Linked DNA regions of Drosophila melanogaster. The protein of the gene in region 1 interacts with the protein of each later gene in a pairwise test. Each region holds a gene or a part of one and is shown in the gene's direction. Other genes may lie near its edges.

Evidence for each region.
Region 2: the proteins of Rgl (region 1) and Ras64B interact in a two-hybrid assay, tested with the Drosophila melanogaster proteins (one study listed by BioGRID).

The regions. Positions count from the first base shown.
Region 1 is NT_037436.4:13,914,609-13,925,679, reverse strand, and holds the start of Rgl (Ral guanine nucleotide dissociation stimulator-like), read left to right. Parts: upstream 1-5,714; 5' UTR 5,715-6,486; coding exon 6,487-6,489; intron 6,490-11,071.
Region 2 is NT_037436.4:4,137,314-4,141,898, forward strand, and holds Ras64B (Ras oncogene at 64B), read left to right. Parts: upstream 1-1,762; 5' UTR 1,763-1,865; coding exon 1,866-1,946; intron 1,947-2,593; coding exon 2,594-2,681; intron 2,682-2,737; coding exon 2,738-3,147; 3' UTR 3,148-4,085; downstream 4,086-4,585. Other genes in the region: Rop (Ras opposite), read right to left, coding at 1-1,501; Akh (adipokinetic hormone), read left to right, coding at 4,273-4,341, 4,410-4,580. UniProt on the Drosophila melanogaster protein: May be involved in endocytic processes and/or other transport pathways mediated by vesicle trafficking. May interact functionally with ROP protein. Ras proteins bind GDP/GTP and possess intrinsic GTPase activity.

The DNA.
Region 1 (11,071 bases):
TTGATCATCAACAGTAGTGTTTCTAATATCAATTGGAATTGGGAGGGAGTACGAGTCTCGATCAGAACTCTATGGTGTCAAAGAGATTCTTACTTATCCGTACAGGTATAGCAATGCTACGATATTCGCTGGATCTTTTTAACATGGGCCTCGGTGGTGCTATTTACCCAGGTAGATCGTTTGGTCAAAAAATCAAAGCTACCTGGCTCTCCGCTGCAGCCGCCTGCCTTTGTTAACATCCGCAGAGAGAGAGAGAGAGAGTGAGAGCGAGAGTGAGGCTCTTGGCCAAAAGACGGGACCAGCTTCAGTTTTGAGTTCGGCGTGTGCTTCGCCAGGTGCTCTCAGCTCAGTCGCAAACTACGTGTAACCAAAGATAGACGAGTCCGAGTTCGGATCCCAGTAGTCCAAAAAAAAAAAACCGCGGCAACAACAATATAGATATAGCCATCATCATATCGCTAGCGGATTGCGGATGTTGTGGATTGGGGGTCGCGGATGCGGAGCGTGGCTCGTAATGTCTGCCAAAGCGTAACGAAAATTTCCAGTGCTCAAGACAACAACAACAACAACAGTATCATTAATGGCATTTTCTGTTTCGAGTTTGTGTGTGAAAAAAAAAGTGCACAAAAGTGGCAGCAACAAAAAAAGTATATGTAATCAAGCAGCATGAAAATCTAAAAGGTATACAACGAAATCCCTGAATTTGTAGCTTATCGAAAATACCCAATCAAATAATTACAATTAATGGCGCAAATTACACGAAAATATAAATGAAAAGAAAAATATTAACAAAAGATGCCTGCATATAGTGAAAAAATTGGCATTTACACACCTGCAACATTTGTTTGCTCTCGTGTTTGTGTCTACCTAGACGCTGGCAAGTGTGTGTACATAAAGATATAGCCGCGAGTGTGTGTGCTTGCCGTTGCATAGCTGTAAACCAGTTGCCAATTGCAACGTGTTTTTTTTTTTGAGTTGTTGGCCCAGGAGATAGTCAACAAAAAAGTTTATAAAATTAACTAGAAAATTGTGAAGTTGTCGGAGAAACACCGCCAAATGGATGTTAACCAATATTAAAGTAAAGTAAAAGTCTGAAAAGCAACGACCAAAAAATAAATACATATATACCAAGATCACGAATCAACAATTAAATAGCCAGAAATAAAATAAAAAAAAAAAACAAACTAAAAAAGTAAAACGAATACATTGCTTGAAAAAATGACAGATCATTTTTTAATAACGGAATTTTCCTCTAACTAAACGACATAATAAAGTCTAGAAACATGCCAAATTGATCTGAAGATAAATTGATATCAAAAGCTACCCATTTTTTAGAACTGCTTGCGTGTTACCGCCGAAAAACACGTTCGAAACGAGTGTTAAAGTGACAAAGACGAAATCACAGAAATGGTATCGAACAAAAATAGGAAAACAGAACAACAAAAACGACGAATTAAAAACGACTTTGGCCTTTTATTTTTGGCTAATAAAGCAATTTGATATCGTAAGGCAAAAAAACACTGAGAACTACAACCGAGTGAGATCATGATTGCAATCGCAAAAGGGAGAGCGAATGAGAGTAGCAGAGAAAGAGAGTGGGTTAATTCAGTTTAGGCCAGGCCAAAAATACAGTGGTCGTCGAGTAAATAAGCCACCGATTCAGAATTTCCATTTGTCAATAAAGCCCAGCAACAACAACCCAATATAGCCCATATATCACTGGGTCTGGAACATACATAAATATTTTTATATCGTTTATGGATCCCCCAGCTCAGCTGTGTGGAGGTGTAAGAAACAAAAAGGCGAAACGCGAAATAAAAAACAGTAACCAATTTCGCAAAAAGCTCGCCAAGCTGACAGAACGGCAAAATTGGAAGAGAGTAAAGAGCGAAACGCTGACGTCGAGCAGCTTGTTTTAACTTTTGTTTAAAATTTAAATTGCTAATGAATTGATGATGTCTTCTGGTTCTAAGAACATACTAAGGGGGAAAAAGACGTGTATAGGGATATGGCAATAGAGGGGAGCAACTTATAATTAAGAGCTTAGCTTGGCAGTAAAGCCGCACATGAAGAAAAAAGTTTCTTAAAAAGTGTAACTTTTTTTTTTAAATACAAGAAACAAGTTTATCTTACGCCTACTTGAAATAATATATATATCTACATTTTTCGAACTTTTTTTGACTCATTAAAAATGAGAAACAATGACCTACGTATTTTTCTCTGTGCAACTCATCATCTTCTTGTTGTTATGGAGCTTTAAGAAGGTTCACTCAGAGCTCAAGGTAATCAAGGTTGATGATTTTTCAAGTTTTGTTTGTGTTTGGCCAAACAGACTTGCCCCTAATGACACTGAAATGTGAGTCTTTAGCTCTATTTGAAAAAGTTATTAACATTTTTTAATTGAGCATATTAATATGCGACCCTAATGCACATCATTTTTGAGCCAGTTGGAAACAAATATCCCGTTGAAATCGCATATAAAATAGTTTTTCATCAGTCAAATATAATGAATATTTTCTTCTTAATGGTTTTTGAGGGTACAAATCTAACCCATGCCTACGATATTCGCTTGATTTAAAGGTTCGTTCTCTCTTTTAAACATGGAAACATTAAACATCTGATCGGTTCTGCGTTCTCTGAATGTGAATCTCTCAGATTTTGTATCTTTCTCCGATTCTCCCTGTGCGTTTGGCAAGCCTCTTAGTGTTGACGATATTCGTCTACCTGTTCTTCGTTTGTTTTCTTTTCTTTGGGCCAGGTATTGTCTGACCAAACATTTTCCGCATTTTTTCATGTAGATGTTTGTCTGCGGGAACTATTCAGAACACATATGTACATACATACCAAGTCAGCGATCCAATGCGAACAGGTAGAAGCATAAACTAGCAAAAACAACGGCTGTGCTGAAAAAAACTTTCATTAATGTTTTTGTTTTGCGTTAGCTAAATAATTCGAGTCGAGCCGCTATCTTTCGACCAACTCTTTCCCCGCAGCAAAAAGGGGTAACTGCGATTACGAGTCGTAAAAAAGAAATCCATCATTAGGTGCTGTCAACTCCACAGTTGCTGTCTTTTTTTGTAGATTGGCACAGTGAAATTAGCAGAACTTCATGAGGAGCACATTTGACATGAGTAATTATTTTTCGTAATAGATTTTTAAAGTTCATTATAGTGTTTTTTTTTGTTTTTCGCTTAGTATTATAAAATTCATAAATTTGTTGGGCCTTAAATCACCATATTTGAACGCAGCCATACAATACGGAAAATTAGATTTTTCCGAAACACTCGAAACCCGTCCCACTGTAGCTCCGTAGCGAATATCGTAAATCAGTTGCGCGCCACGTTCAAACCGCATTCATATTATTCCAGTGACTTTGCGGGTTAGTTGTTGCTGGGCGTTCGATGGCGCTTGGTCTCCGCGGTCTTGGCTTCTAAGCCTCTGGAATGCCAACAATGTGTGCGCGTTCGGTTGTGGTTCATTTTTTATAACTTCGTATATTTTTTTCAACTTTTATTGACCGTTTCATTTACGGGCTACTGCTACTGTCGCACTTTCCATTGAGTTGAAATGGTTTTCACCCGAATGCTTTGTCGCTTTCTTGCAGTTTGGTAACGAAATGGAAAAGAAAACTTGAAATTTGTGTCGATCCGATTGCAAGTTTGGTCGCGTATCTTGCAGATACATCCGCTTGGCCGAGTGAATTGCACAACCCAAATGAAAATAAATAAGTAAACGCGTTACACGTGTCCGCCCAAAGAGTGTGTGCTTTCGAGTCATTGTTCGTCGTTAGCTGTGCCAAGCCAAAATGCGCGTATCCGACAGATACCAGTCATCATCACAATTATCATCAGCATCTACAACACCACCATCGGAAATTGCATCGCACCAGATTTTGAGCAGCACGCACCTTGAAGTAATTGCAGCATCTGGCCATCGTCAACGCTGCAGACTATAATGAGTCAAAATGTGGCCGACAGTTTGGTGAGTAGCTAAACCATTATCTTGTTCATGTACTCTAGTATATAGCAAGCGTAGAAAGTAACAGGGAAATGCATAGAAAGTCATTTTGAAAGTATCTCGCAGAGCACCGAACTTTGTGTGGAGGCTTTTTGCCCAGGTCTGCTAATTATTTGGTCAAATAGTCCGTAGACTAAGTTAATGAAAAATATGTTGCAACATTTTGATTAGAGTGGTGCCGAAAAATCGAATTAAAGAAATTTATAATTTATAATTTAATTTATAATTTTTGTGATATTTATTATCACGATCACAACACAAGAGCGGTTTTTTCGTATGACTAAAGTTTTGGAGCACAACATTTTTCATCTAAATATATATTATGACGTTTACGTTTTAAAATATTATTCTCCATACTTTCTGATAGGGAGAACAGCAATAATTTTAAATAAATTTACTATAGCTTTAAACCGTATTATTTTGACACCAACATCATGAAGCACATTGAGGGTCAATCTTTAATTGATCTCTTTTTCTAGCTTTATATAAAATTCGTTATCAGCATCACCAAGTGCATAACAAATATCAGTGCCTTTTTTTGTATTGAAACTTGTTGCATTCGCTAATTGATCAATTGACGTGCTCATGGTCTCGAATATTTATCCAATGTCTACAAGCAACAAACAAAACAGCAGGCATCGTTTGATTGGCGCTTACGTAAATGCACGTTTTATTAATATTTCTGCTTATTGATTTCCCCGCCAGCTTTCTTTAAATCGTTACCAAATACCAGACAACACTCAGGTATTCCCATTTCCATAATTATGTCATTCCAGTTCACATGTTTGAACGGTTGGTCAAATGATAGCCTAAAAAGCCAAACAAAACATGGAAGAAAATTATTTAAATTTCTTTGTTGGCATTAATCAAAAATTTGGAATAAAATCCTACAGGTTTAGGAGGCCCATAAATTCCATTGATAAATGTGAAGCTATAATGAAGACAAATGCTATTGTGGGGGTCAGTGTAAATATATACCAAAAAATACTAAAATTGACAGAGAGAGTTGAGAGAGAGTTCTGATTAGAAACAAACAAGCCAACAGTCAATTGCTCATCAGAAAAAACATAAACAGAGCGCGAATGGCCAGAGCAAGTAAGATTTTTATGTTTGTTCTGATACGACATATATATACCGTGTATTTATTTTAAGAAACTTATTTATTTATATTTAGCGTGTCAACAGTCACTAGGAAGAAGTTTTAAAGAAATTTGTTTAAATTGATTTAAAAGGCCAAGTTACCATAGTGCAAAAGAAATAAAATCAATTACCAATTCAATGGTAAATTGACAGTTTATCTGGAAAAAGTTCTATTTTAAGTTTATTGACTATAAATTGTGAGAATATGTAGGTGTTTTAAATTCGGAACCAATATTGGAATGCATTGTTAATGTTAACTGTGTTTTTGAACTTGTTCGATGCAACCAATATACCTTCACGCAAGGTGTAAAACCATAGTGGGTGTTTTGCTAGAAGTTCCCACGGTCGAAAACTTGAGTACCTGAGAAAAGCGAACGAGAGAGTGCAATTGAGAGAACGGGGATGCTACAGTTACATCCGTCGAGTAAGAACATCCCCCGAAAATGCTTGCGTTCTTAATGACAGAGAGTGGATCCCCGACAGAGAGAGCGTGTGGGAGAGAGTAAGCGAGAGTTGGATACAGACGATGGGGTTTCGGGCGGTCGTTTGTTCTAAGCGGGCAGAGTTCGTCTTCGACTGTTGTTGGCGGCGGTTGCGTCGCGTGTCTCTCTACCGAGAGCTTTGTGTGTGTGTCTCGCGCGCGTTTTACGCTCTGCGCCCCCTACGCTCCCCTTTTCCAAGTAGAGAAACCCCCGAATGTGAATTTTGTATAATGTTTTTGTAATAACATGGATATCTCATGTTGAGATTTTCAGCCAAGCGAATGAAAATGCAAGCGGTATCCCGAAAATTGCCGTTTACGTGTGTGCGAGTGCAGCATTAGCAAAAGGAAAAGAGATAAAAGTGAAAACAAATAAATAGTAGGGAAGACGTGCTAAAGCACGAGAGCAAAGAGGAGATTGCCAGGCAGACGCATAGACGTAGTGCAACGAACCCTTCTTCGCGGACCAAGGATTCACCACTTACCACTAACCGGAGAACAAATACCAATATTAACCCCCCCACCTCTACTGCTACTGGGTGTGTTTCTCTATGTCCCGTTGACTCATCGTTCCCAGGAAGCTGAACAACGGTATAGCGGCCAGAACACAGAAGCCCAGTACAAAAAAAGAGCAGCAGGAATATCGATTTTACTTGCCTTTTACTTATACAACACCCCCACCACCCATTGAACTGCACTTGGGTGTAAAAATAAAACACCAGAAGCCATTAAAGGAGACGTGTAAATTAAAGCGAACCGACGAGAAGAGGATAACGGATAGGAAAACCCAAGCAGTGCATCCGTGGAAATCTCAGCAACATTTCTCAAGGAACAAAAGCCAATCTCAAATGGTAAAAAAAAACAACGCAATCCATCAGGCCGGATTAGAAAGGAGCGCACTTTAGATCTATTGGTTCTTATCCTGCCCTTACAGTGGTCACTCGAACGTTGATACATTGAAATGTTTTTTTTTAACAATATATTTAAAACAAGTACATCATATTTCTGCAATAAGCAATACATCGGTAACAAACTCCTGATAAGATAAAAACATTAATGGCTTGAATTTTATTACTATTGACCCTCGCCCTTAAATCAACGACATGGATAATTATCGATAATGCGCACCTTTTTTTGTCCGAGAATTTTCAACCCTGAAAACTAGTTGCTGTGTACTTGATCTGGTTTTGTGTGGAGAGGGATTACTGTAGTGTCTTGGTGTCGATTCACAAGGAAATGTCAACAATGATTATGGGCAAAAATGCAATGGTATGGAAACTTTACGCCTAAGTGGAGTCCAGAAATAAAACACCTTCTTTTGGTGGGGAAGGAATAGGAATCGATAAAAGTCGGGAATTTTTTACAAGTTATAAATGAATCATATGGGAACTGCCAAGCTTGGAGAAGCTTTGTTTTGGGAGTTTCGAGAATTTATATGCTAATTAAAAAGCATTCAAAATTGGTATACTTATGCTTGGGAACAAATGGTGTAGGGTATTCTTAAGTGATGTATATAATTTGTTTCGCAGGTGAAAGATAACGAATTAAAGCTATGAATTTAAAGGTGAATCAGTTTGAGATCATTTCAGTTGCAGTCCCAGTTATATTTTCGTTTCTTTATCATCCATTTATGCGGAGTGCCCCTAGAAATCATTTATCAGCTCCCATTGTATGCAAAACAAAAGCTCCGCCCCCCACTTCCTTTACCCACTGGCGAATGATGGGGGAATGCATAAAAAAAATAATTTACGTGGGGAGCTATGCTCAGTGGCTCAAACTTTAGCTTAGGTTGATATGTTTTTGTATTGTTTGCACATCATCTCTGCTGCTGCCCAACGGATGTGGTTTGATAATAGCCGAAAGAGCGGGACAGCTGCTCTGCAGTAGAGACAGATACATATGTACATATACACGTTAAATAAAAGTTTTATTCGGATATGAATTATGGTTTTTGAAATTAAAAATTGCAACAGGATGTGGCATCGGTTGATATTCGTTATGTTGTAATATAGCGAAAAGGAGACATTAGGGATAGAATATCGAATGCCAAGTAATGCCTGTTCTATTATTTCTCATAAACACAAACGATGTAAAATCTTGATGGACCTGTGTTAGTAGGCCGATGCAATTAAATTTGATCATAATTCCCTTCATTTTTTTTTATGTGCACCGAGGGAGCAGCAAATGTTGTCAAGTTGACTGCGTCGGATGCAGTCGCATGTAACTGACAGTCAGTCAGAGTCATTTAGCCAGTCAGTCATTTAGTCAGTCAGTCATTCAGGGATGACAGAGGGAAGGGGGAGAGACTGGTGTTTAGTTTCAGTCGTTTTTTTCCCTTGGCGTTTTCAATTTTGTTTTGCGTTGTTTTTTTTTTGCCGCTGCTTCTGTTGCTGCAATTCACAAAACTCGTGCCAGGGGTCGTCGATTTAAAAATAGAGATTTGTGTCTACAATTGCGGTCAAAATAAATGCCTTTTCATTTTTCAAGACAAGCGAAATGTATTGCTTATTTCGGACACCTAATCTATTGCCGCCAAGAACTAGGAAATTCTCAAAGAACTGTTTTTACATCGATACAAATTGCAATACTTTTACCTATAAATCGAATATCTCAAACGGAATACTATTTTACTATCTCAGAGTCATGTTTCATCATTTAAATATTGATCCATTTCCTTAGATGTATTTTCACTTTTAATCTATCAATATTGTGACCTCAGCTGTATGGCTGTTTGTTGATAAATTCACCCCAAATGCAAATGCAGTACCATTTCGCTTTGATGTTGCGGTTCGACTCTCCTTTGTTTTGGTTTCTGGCTATTTTTGCGAAGATCTGTAATTGAGAGAAACCCCCCCTGGGCGGAAAAGCAGAAAACGCCACCCACACGCTTTTCTGGAGGAAAGGTCACCTGCTTTATATATAGACAGATGATGATGTGGGCCGACCAATCAGGCGCCCCCTCATACTTGGATGTTATTTCTTTATAATTGGGTGCCTTGTATACACAAACACGAATATGTTTGACAATTGCCCGTCGTCTGGCATTATAATACTATATTATTTCATTACTTAATGAGCTTTATTTCTGCCGCAGTTTTTTTTGCACGGGCTGGGTATTTTCTGATGAATCATTCGAACTCAAAAGGTAAAATATCAACCGTATGCAAATCGTCATTTCCTCGCCGAGTTGTGTTCTGTTTCATTCGGTCTCGTTTGGCATTCGCTGTAATAATAATCGTGAATGAAATGAGTGTATTTAGGTTCTGGGGCTTGGTACGAATCGAATGCAATACATATATGTGCATATTGATTAGACGAAGGAATCTCAAACAAAAAGATTTCTATAAGTATGCGCATTGCGCATATTTACAAACATATATGAATATGTACATACATACATATATGGGTCTGGGTTGTTTGGCCTGGAGCTTTGAAGGATTTATTCTAATCAGTTTTCGGTTCAAAGTGTAACTTGGAGAAGCTTTCTTATATTTGCGAAATAAGCAAGCATATTTCTTATCGCCAGCAGCGCAGTGCTAACTAAATATTACATCATAAATAATATGCAATATTCTGGCTAATCATTACTAAGTTCTGTTCAAGCTTAATTGTTAAGCTGGGAAATTTCGAATTAGAAATTTTTCTATTGTTTGGAGTATTTAAGCAAATTAAATGAGGCATTTAAAATTAGTCTCACAATTGGTAGTTTTAGCTCAAACAGTATTTTAAATAAAAATTTTTTATTTCTTGATCTTATGATATATAATTGCTTTTTATAGTATAAATTTGCATATGACTATGGTTCATTGCACAAAACTAATTCGACCAATAAATTTGTATCCGTAACCCAGATGGGCATTATTCATGCTCGACTATGGAGCTTTAATTGGGGGTAAGAAAATCCTAGTCCTTCTCCACCGAATGACGCATGCCAGGCGAACGTGCCTCAATTATCGGTCGGTATTCGAATATATTTGGAGTATTTGATTGTGCTCGATTTAATTTTCGTGATGCGTATTTGATGGTTTGGTCTTCGATGCATTTATCGCTTATTTAATTTCAAGGCATCATATATGTATAATCTGGTTGCTCTTGGCCACGCGAGGCACGTTCCAGATTCGGGACCTCTGGAACCGACCTTTTTCCCCTTGCCTCACGCACGACCACTTCGCTGACCCCTCTGGAATAATTTGTTTTTGTCTTTTCGTTGTCAAGAGAGAGATGGCTTAAAGACCTACCGACCAAATGACATTTCTCTTCGCACGAATTTGGCCAGAAACGAGTTATGTAATTGGCAATGGAGCCGGTACGGGCTGTAATTGAGCAAAATTGCAAAATGGTCGGTGTTGGCCTAAATTTATGGCTAAGCTCTACATGAAATGGGCTGGGCCAGTTCATCTCTGGCGAGGTAAAAACCATAAAACCGATGGAGAAAAGGAAAGCGCAACGCAGTTTCCACACCACAGGCATGAAAATATTTATCTAGGCAAATATTGTGGAGCTTTCTTTGGAATTGAACGAAGCGGAAATGCTCTTCAAGAAAAGATAATAATTAAACAATCATTCTTATAAGCAAAAATATATAAAATGTATTGAAAATATTATTTTTTCTTTTTTTTATGAGCGAATATTCAAGTTTAGCCTATTATTTGAATGTAAATAAGATGCAGCTAATAATAATATTATTTGTTGTGGAAGAAGCACATTATTAAATATGATTAGAAGACTTTTGTGTTGAACTTGATTTTTAAAAATGCCTGTTTATTGTTCGAAACTTTTCCTGTTCCTTTCCTATCCATTGCTAGAGTATTTTCGGATGAATATATTTCCTTGGCGAAACCTGTGCGCAGCTGTCAATAGCCGTGAAATACTATGGCCCGAAAACAACGAAAACAAACTAGTTGGCTGTAATAACTTCCTGGTAAAAGTTGAACACATCCCGATTGGGAGGCCGGAATCGTCGTACTTGGGATGTTGTTTACGATTATAGGCCGGGATGAACAACGCGCCTAATATAATATGAAATGGTTAAACAAAGATTGCCTGTAAATCTGCCCCAGGGGATAGGGGATTCGCGGGGTAAAGACTTCCCATTAACCAAATATGGTGCGGATGAGTGAGTAGTGAGCGCCACTTGAAGTACAAAGTCGCTTGTCAAAGATACACTTTTCGTTTGTATGTTTGTTTGGTGTATTGTTTTTTTTTCTATTTTTGGGTATTTTTGTAGTTTTTTTTGTTTTTTTTTTTGGGTTGAGTAGCTCATAAACATCAAACAGCTGAACAATCCACTCGATTGTGGTCGTGTGTGCCTTTGGAGTCAAATCGTAGCCAAGGTCAGGGGCTCTGTGAACGAACTGAGAAGACAGCTCAAGTGGGTTGAGGGTTGCAGTCAATCAATGAACCACAGCCCGAGACCAAGATCAAGTACAAAGC
Region 2 (4,585 bases), 9.8 Mb from region 1:
TATCCTCTATGCAATCCTCCATGATGTCCTTGATCACCGGTGTCCAGCGGGACATCTGGTAGGTGCTTTCTGTGGTGCGCTCCTTGCGCGGCACCGAGTACTGCTTCTTGCGCGAATCTGCAATGACATTGATGCCCAAGCAACTAAGGTTACGCACCATATCCTGATCCTTCGGCGACAGCTGGGCATGCGTAAACAGCTTGGTCAGGTTCTCCTCGGAAATTCCGTTCTTGATCATGACGTACAGGGCAATGATGCGAACCTTGTCGTAGTTCGAGACATTGGCGTCCAGCAAGATGGGCACAATGTTGCGCATATGATCCTTGATCTTTTCGCCCTCGGCGTCCGTGCCCATGGCCAGATCCTGTTCCACGCGGCACAGCTTGTCCACGTAGTTCTGGTACGACTTCATGCAGTCCTCGGCCAAATGCAAGTGGGTGGAGTACTTGGACAGCTCCTTCTGGTACTGCGGCATCTTCTTGATCATCTGCGAGAGATCGCGCATCGACGACTTGTCAGCCGAGCCCATGCGCTTAGAGTCGGTGAATTTCTTAAGGTTCTGAGTCACCTGGGTGGAGACCACAGCGATATGCTCGTGACGCAGCTCCACCCACAAGTCGTCGTTCTCGTCGAGCAGCACCTCCTTATCCGGCTGGTTGGGGCCGGGCGTGTAGCGATACACGTCATTGACGATGGGTAGCAAATCGTAGGCCATGGCCTGCAGGGTGAGCTCGTGCAGCAGCGGCGACACGCAGTCGAAGCCGCGATCCAGGATCAGCAGCTGGGATCGTGCCTTCTCGGGGCCCTCGCCCATGGTGGCATCGTCGGCCTTGTAGGCGTCCAGCTTCTGCTGCACCGACGCGGCCAAATCGATGTTCCTGTCCCAGTCGCTGCGGTAGCGCACATTTGGGTACTCCCCAAGGGTAGCGCACAGTGTGGCTATTTGCTCGGCAATTCGCTCGATGTGCTTGCTCCGAATGGAGGCAAAGGCCGGCGAGTAGAGGCATTGGAATGTGTCCGGCGAGTCCAGCGAGAACACCTGGCATTCGTATGGCAAAAATGCAATGTTGATCTCCTTCAGCGTCTTGATCTTTCCGGCCGCGCACGACTTGCACAGATCGTTGAATAGCTCCTCGGGACAAACTTCGGTGAAGAAGACATGGGCATAGCGATACATGGGCCGCGCTGGGTTCTCGAAGTCTCGTATCAGACCGCGCACTGACTCATCCGACGGCGTAATCAGATAGATCGCGTCCATCGTGGGCAGCGGCTCGCGCTTCTTGTTGATGTCCTCAACCAGGGTGATGCCCTCGGCGCTGATTTCGTGCATCTTGGTGCAGGCGGACACCATGCGCATACCCAGCTTGTCCACCACCAGCACCCGCCATTCCATGCCGCCCGCCCCCGCAGCGGACGTAACGCCCTGCTTTTTGGGTGGTGGAGGCTTGTACTTCACCACCTCGTTCATCAGCTTTTGGCCCACCAGCACTTTCAAGGCCATTTTCACTGCGTTTTATTGGTCACGGGCGCAAAGGCAACTCGATTATGAACACACTGCGTGTAAATATGTCTTTTTAGCTTATTCCGTTCGCTTTTTCGCGTGGGCTAACTTGACTTAAAGAATTTTATCTATTCCTTGGCCAATTTTTCTGTATTTTTTTCGTTTGATGACTTAGCCTTAGTGATGGGCGAAAGTCGATTGCTGGCTAGCGATAGTTGATATCGATATTACTGTCTAGCAGAGACGCGCACCCGTCTCAGTGCGAGTGTGGATTTCTCAGTTAACCGAGAACGGTCACGCTGCTGCTGTCGAGGAAGGAAAATAAAATAATTTTGCTGGCCAACTGGTCGATTTAAACGGGGAAATGCAGATGCAAACGTACAAACTGGTGGTCGTCGGCGGCGGCGGCGTGGGCAAGTCAGCGATAACGATACAGTTCATCCAGGTAAGCCGCCCAGCATCGGCCCAATCCCTGGTGACGTCGCTTTCCACAGGGGCGTTTGAATGTGGGAGTGGGGGGCGATGGCGCACAGGGGCGGTGGCAGGGGGACGGCCCTTGTTTTGGCCAGAGCAACAAACAAGCAACAAGCGACTGTGATGTGCGTCTGTGTTTGGACATGCGTGTGCATAGTTTCGGGCCGAGATCATCACCAACACAATCATCATCATCATCATCATTGGCAGCATCATCATCGCGGTGGCCACACCCCCGTGTGTATCTCCAATTGGGGATCAAGTGGTCAGAGCCCAGAACCAGGGAGTTGCGTTAGACGCAGCCCCCAGTTTTCTGGGTGTGCCGATCGATTCCCCGAGAGTTTGTGCCATGGTCACGACCACAATGACCGCCCGCTTCCATTTATTTTTAGTCATTTGCGTCATCTGCACATCTTTCGTGTATATGCTGTAGCTTTTCCCCAAGATATATAGAGCATAGTGGATAGTGAATGATAAAAGTGACGTGTGTAAACAAATCAAAGGCGGAATGATAAACGCACCCCGCCCACATAAAAAACCCAGTCTTATAATGTTTATATATGTAGTTTTGTGGCCTCGGCAGCTGGCGGTACAATAATTTTAATCCTAATCTTGCAGAGCTACTTCGTCACGGACTACGATCCCACCATTGAAGACTCGTACACGAAGCAGTGCAACATCGACGATGTGCCAGCCAAATTGGACAGTAAGCTTCCTTTCTTTACCCTTACCAGATTCATAATAACCTGATATTTTACCTAGTTTTGGACACGGCTGGCCAGGAGGAGTTCAGTGCCATGCGGGAGCAGTACATGCGCTCCGGCGAGGGATTCCTGCTCGTCTTCGCGCTCAACGATCATTCCAGCTTCGATGAGATCCCCAAGTTCCAGCGCCAGATACTGCGCGTCAAGGATCGCGACGAGTTCCCCATGCTGATGGTGGGTAACAAGTGCGACCTGAAGCACCAGCAGCAGGTGTCCCTGGAGGAGGCGCAGAACACCAGCCGCAACCTGATGATCCCCTACATCGAGTGCAGTGCCAAACTGAGGGTCAACGTCGATCAGGCCTTCCACGAGCTCGTGAGGATCGTGCGCAAGTTCCAGATCGCCGAGCGTCCCTTCATCGAGCAGGATTACAAGAAGAAGGGCAAGAGGAAGTGCTGCCTGATGTAGAAGGAACTAAATGGAAGAGAATCTCCTGAATGCCGCAGCGGAAGCAGGAGCCAACATATAATGATTATAACACCAAATTTTTTGAAAAACACGCGTCGACTGAGCTTTGAATTCCGTTGAGAAGACGATAAACCAGTAACCCGAAACCAGTAACCGCACAAAACGTGTCAACGAGCCCAAACGAAGTGCATTTCTTACCTGCCCAGGTGCATGGCGCATTCAACGAACGAATCGAATAAACTTCGCCACTCTCAAATAGCTACGAAGAATCTTACAACTGACAACTAACAATGCAAAATGCAAACAGAAACACGAAACATAGGTAGATATATACAACAGATTCACACGAATAACTTATATATACATATATATTTCTACATATATTTTTGTAATATTATTTTGTTGATCAACGACAACAATTAAGGACGAATGTTTTCATGATTATTACCAATCGTGGCTCGCAGGCCATTTGTTTTTATAATGCAATAACTAAGCCCAGAACGTTTGTTTCGATTAAGCCAAAACGTAATAATGTGTTATTGTAATTTGTATTGTTATTTACTACTAATATATACGTATACATATATTAACTGCTTACAAACCGATTTTGTTGTAACAAATTGAGTGCCTCGTTCTCGCGCGTAGAAATCTAAAACATCAAACTCTGTATTACACCCACGGCATTTTTGTACTATACCCGCAGCTGCCAGGCGCGCACAACTCACTTAACGATACTTTTGTACATGTCCCCAGTCGGATCCGGATCCTATGGTTTATTGTTCGCCAAATGTATTGCAACAGTTGCTTTAGCCGCAATCTTGTTTTAACTCTTATACACTGCTTAATTTAACGAACTTATTTAATGGTATATAAATAAATATATAATTAAATTTAAAATTAAACATATGCGCAATTCTAATAAACACATGGAGAATCACAAACGCTTCCACATAGAAGATTGTTTCAATGACGCTCTCGACTGGAATTGAAAATTCCGACCCAATCCAAGCAATTATAGAAAGAATCCTTGCTAGTGCTGTGTTAATTACTTACCAGCTGTCTTCCCTTCGAGCTCAATGGGTATAAAAGCGGGCTGAATCGAAGTGGACCAGCATAGAACTCAGAATGAATCCCAAGAGCGAAGTCCTCATTGCAGCCGTGCTCTTCATGCTGCTGGCCTGCGTCCAGTGTCAAGTGAGTGAATTCATATCCCGCTGCAGGATATCCCTTTCTGATGTCTCATTTTATTTTCCTCTATATAGTTGACCTTCTCGCCGGATTGGGGCAAGCGTTCGGTGGGCGGAGCTGGTCCTGGAACCTTTTTCGAGACACAGCAGGGCAACTGCAAGACCTCCAACGAAATGCTGCTCGAGATCTTCCGCTTCGTGCAATCTCAGGCACAGCTCTTTCTGGACTGCAAGCACCGCGAGTAGATAGC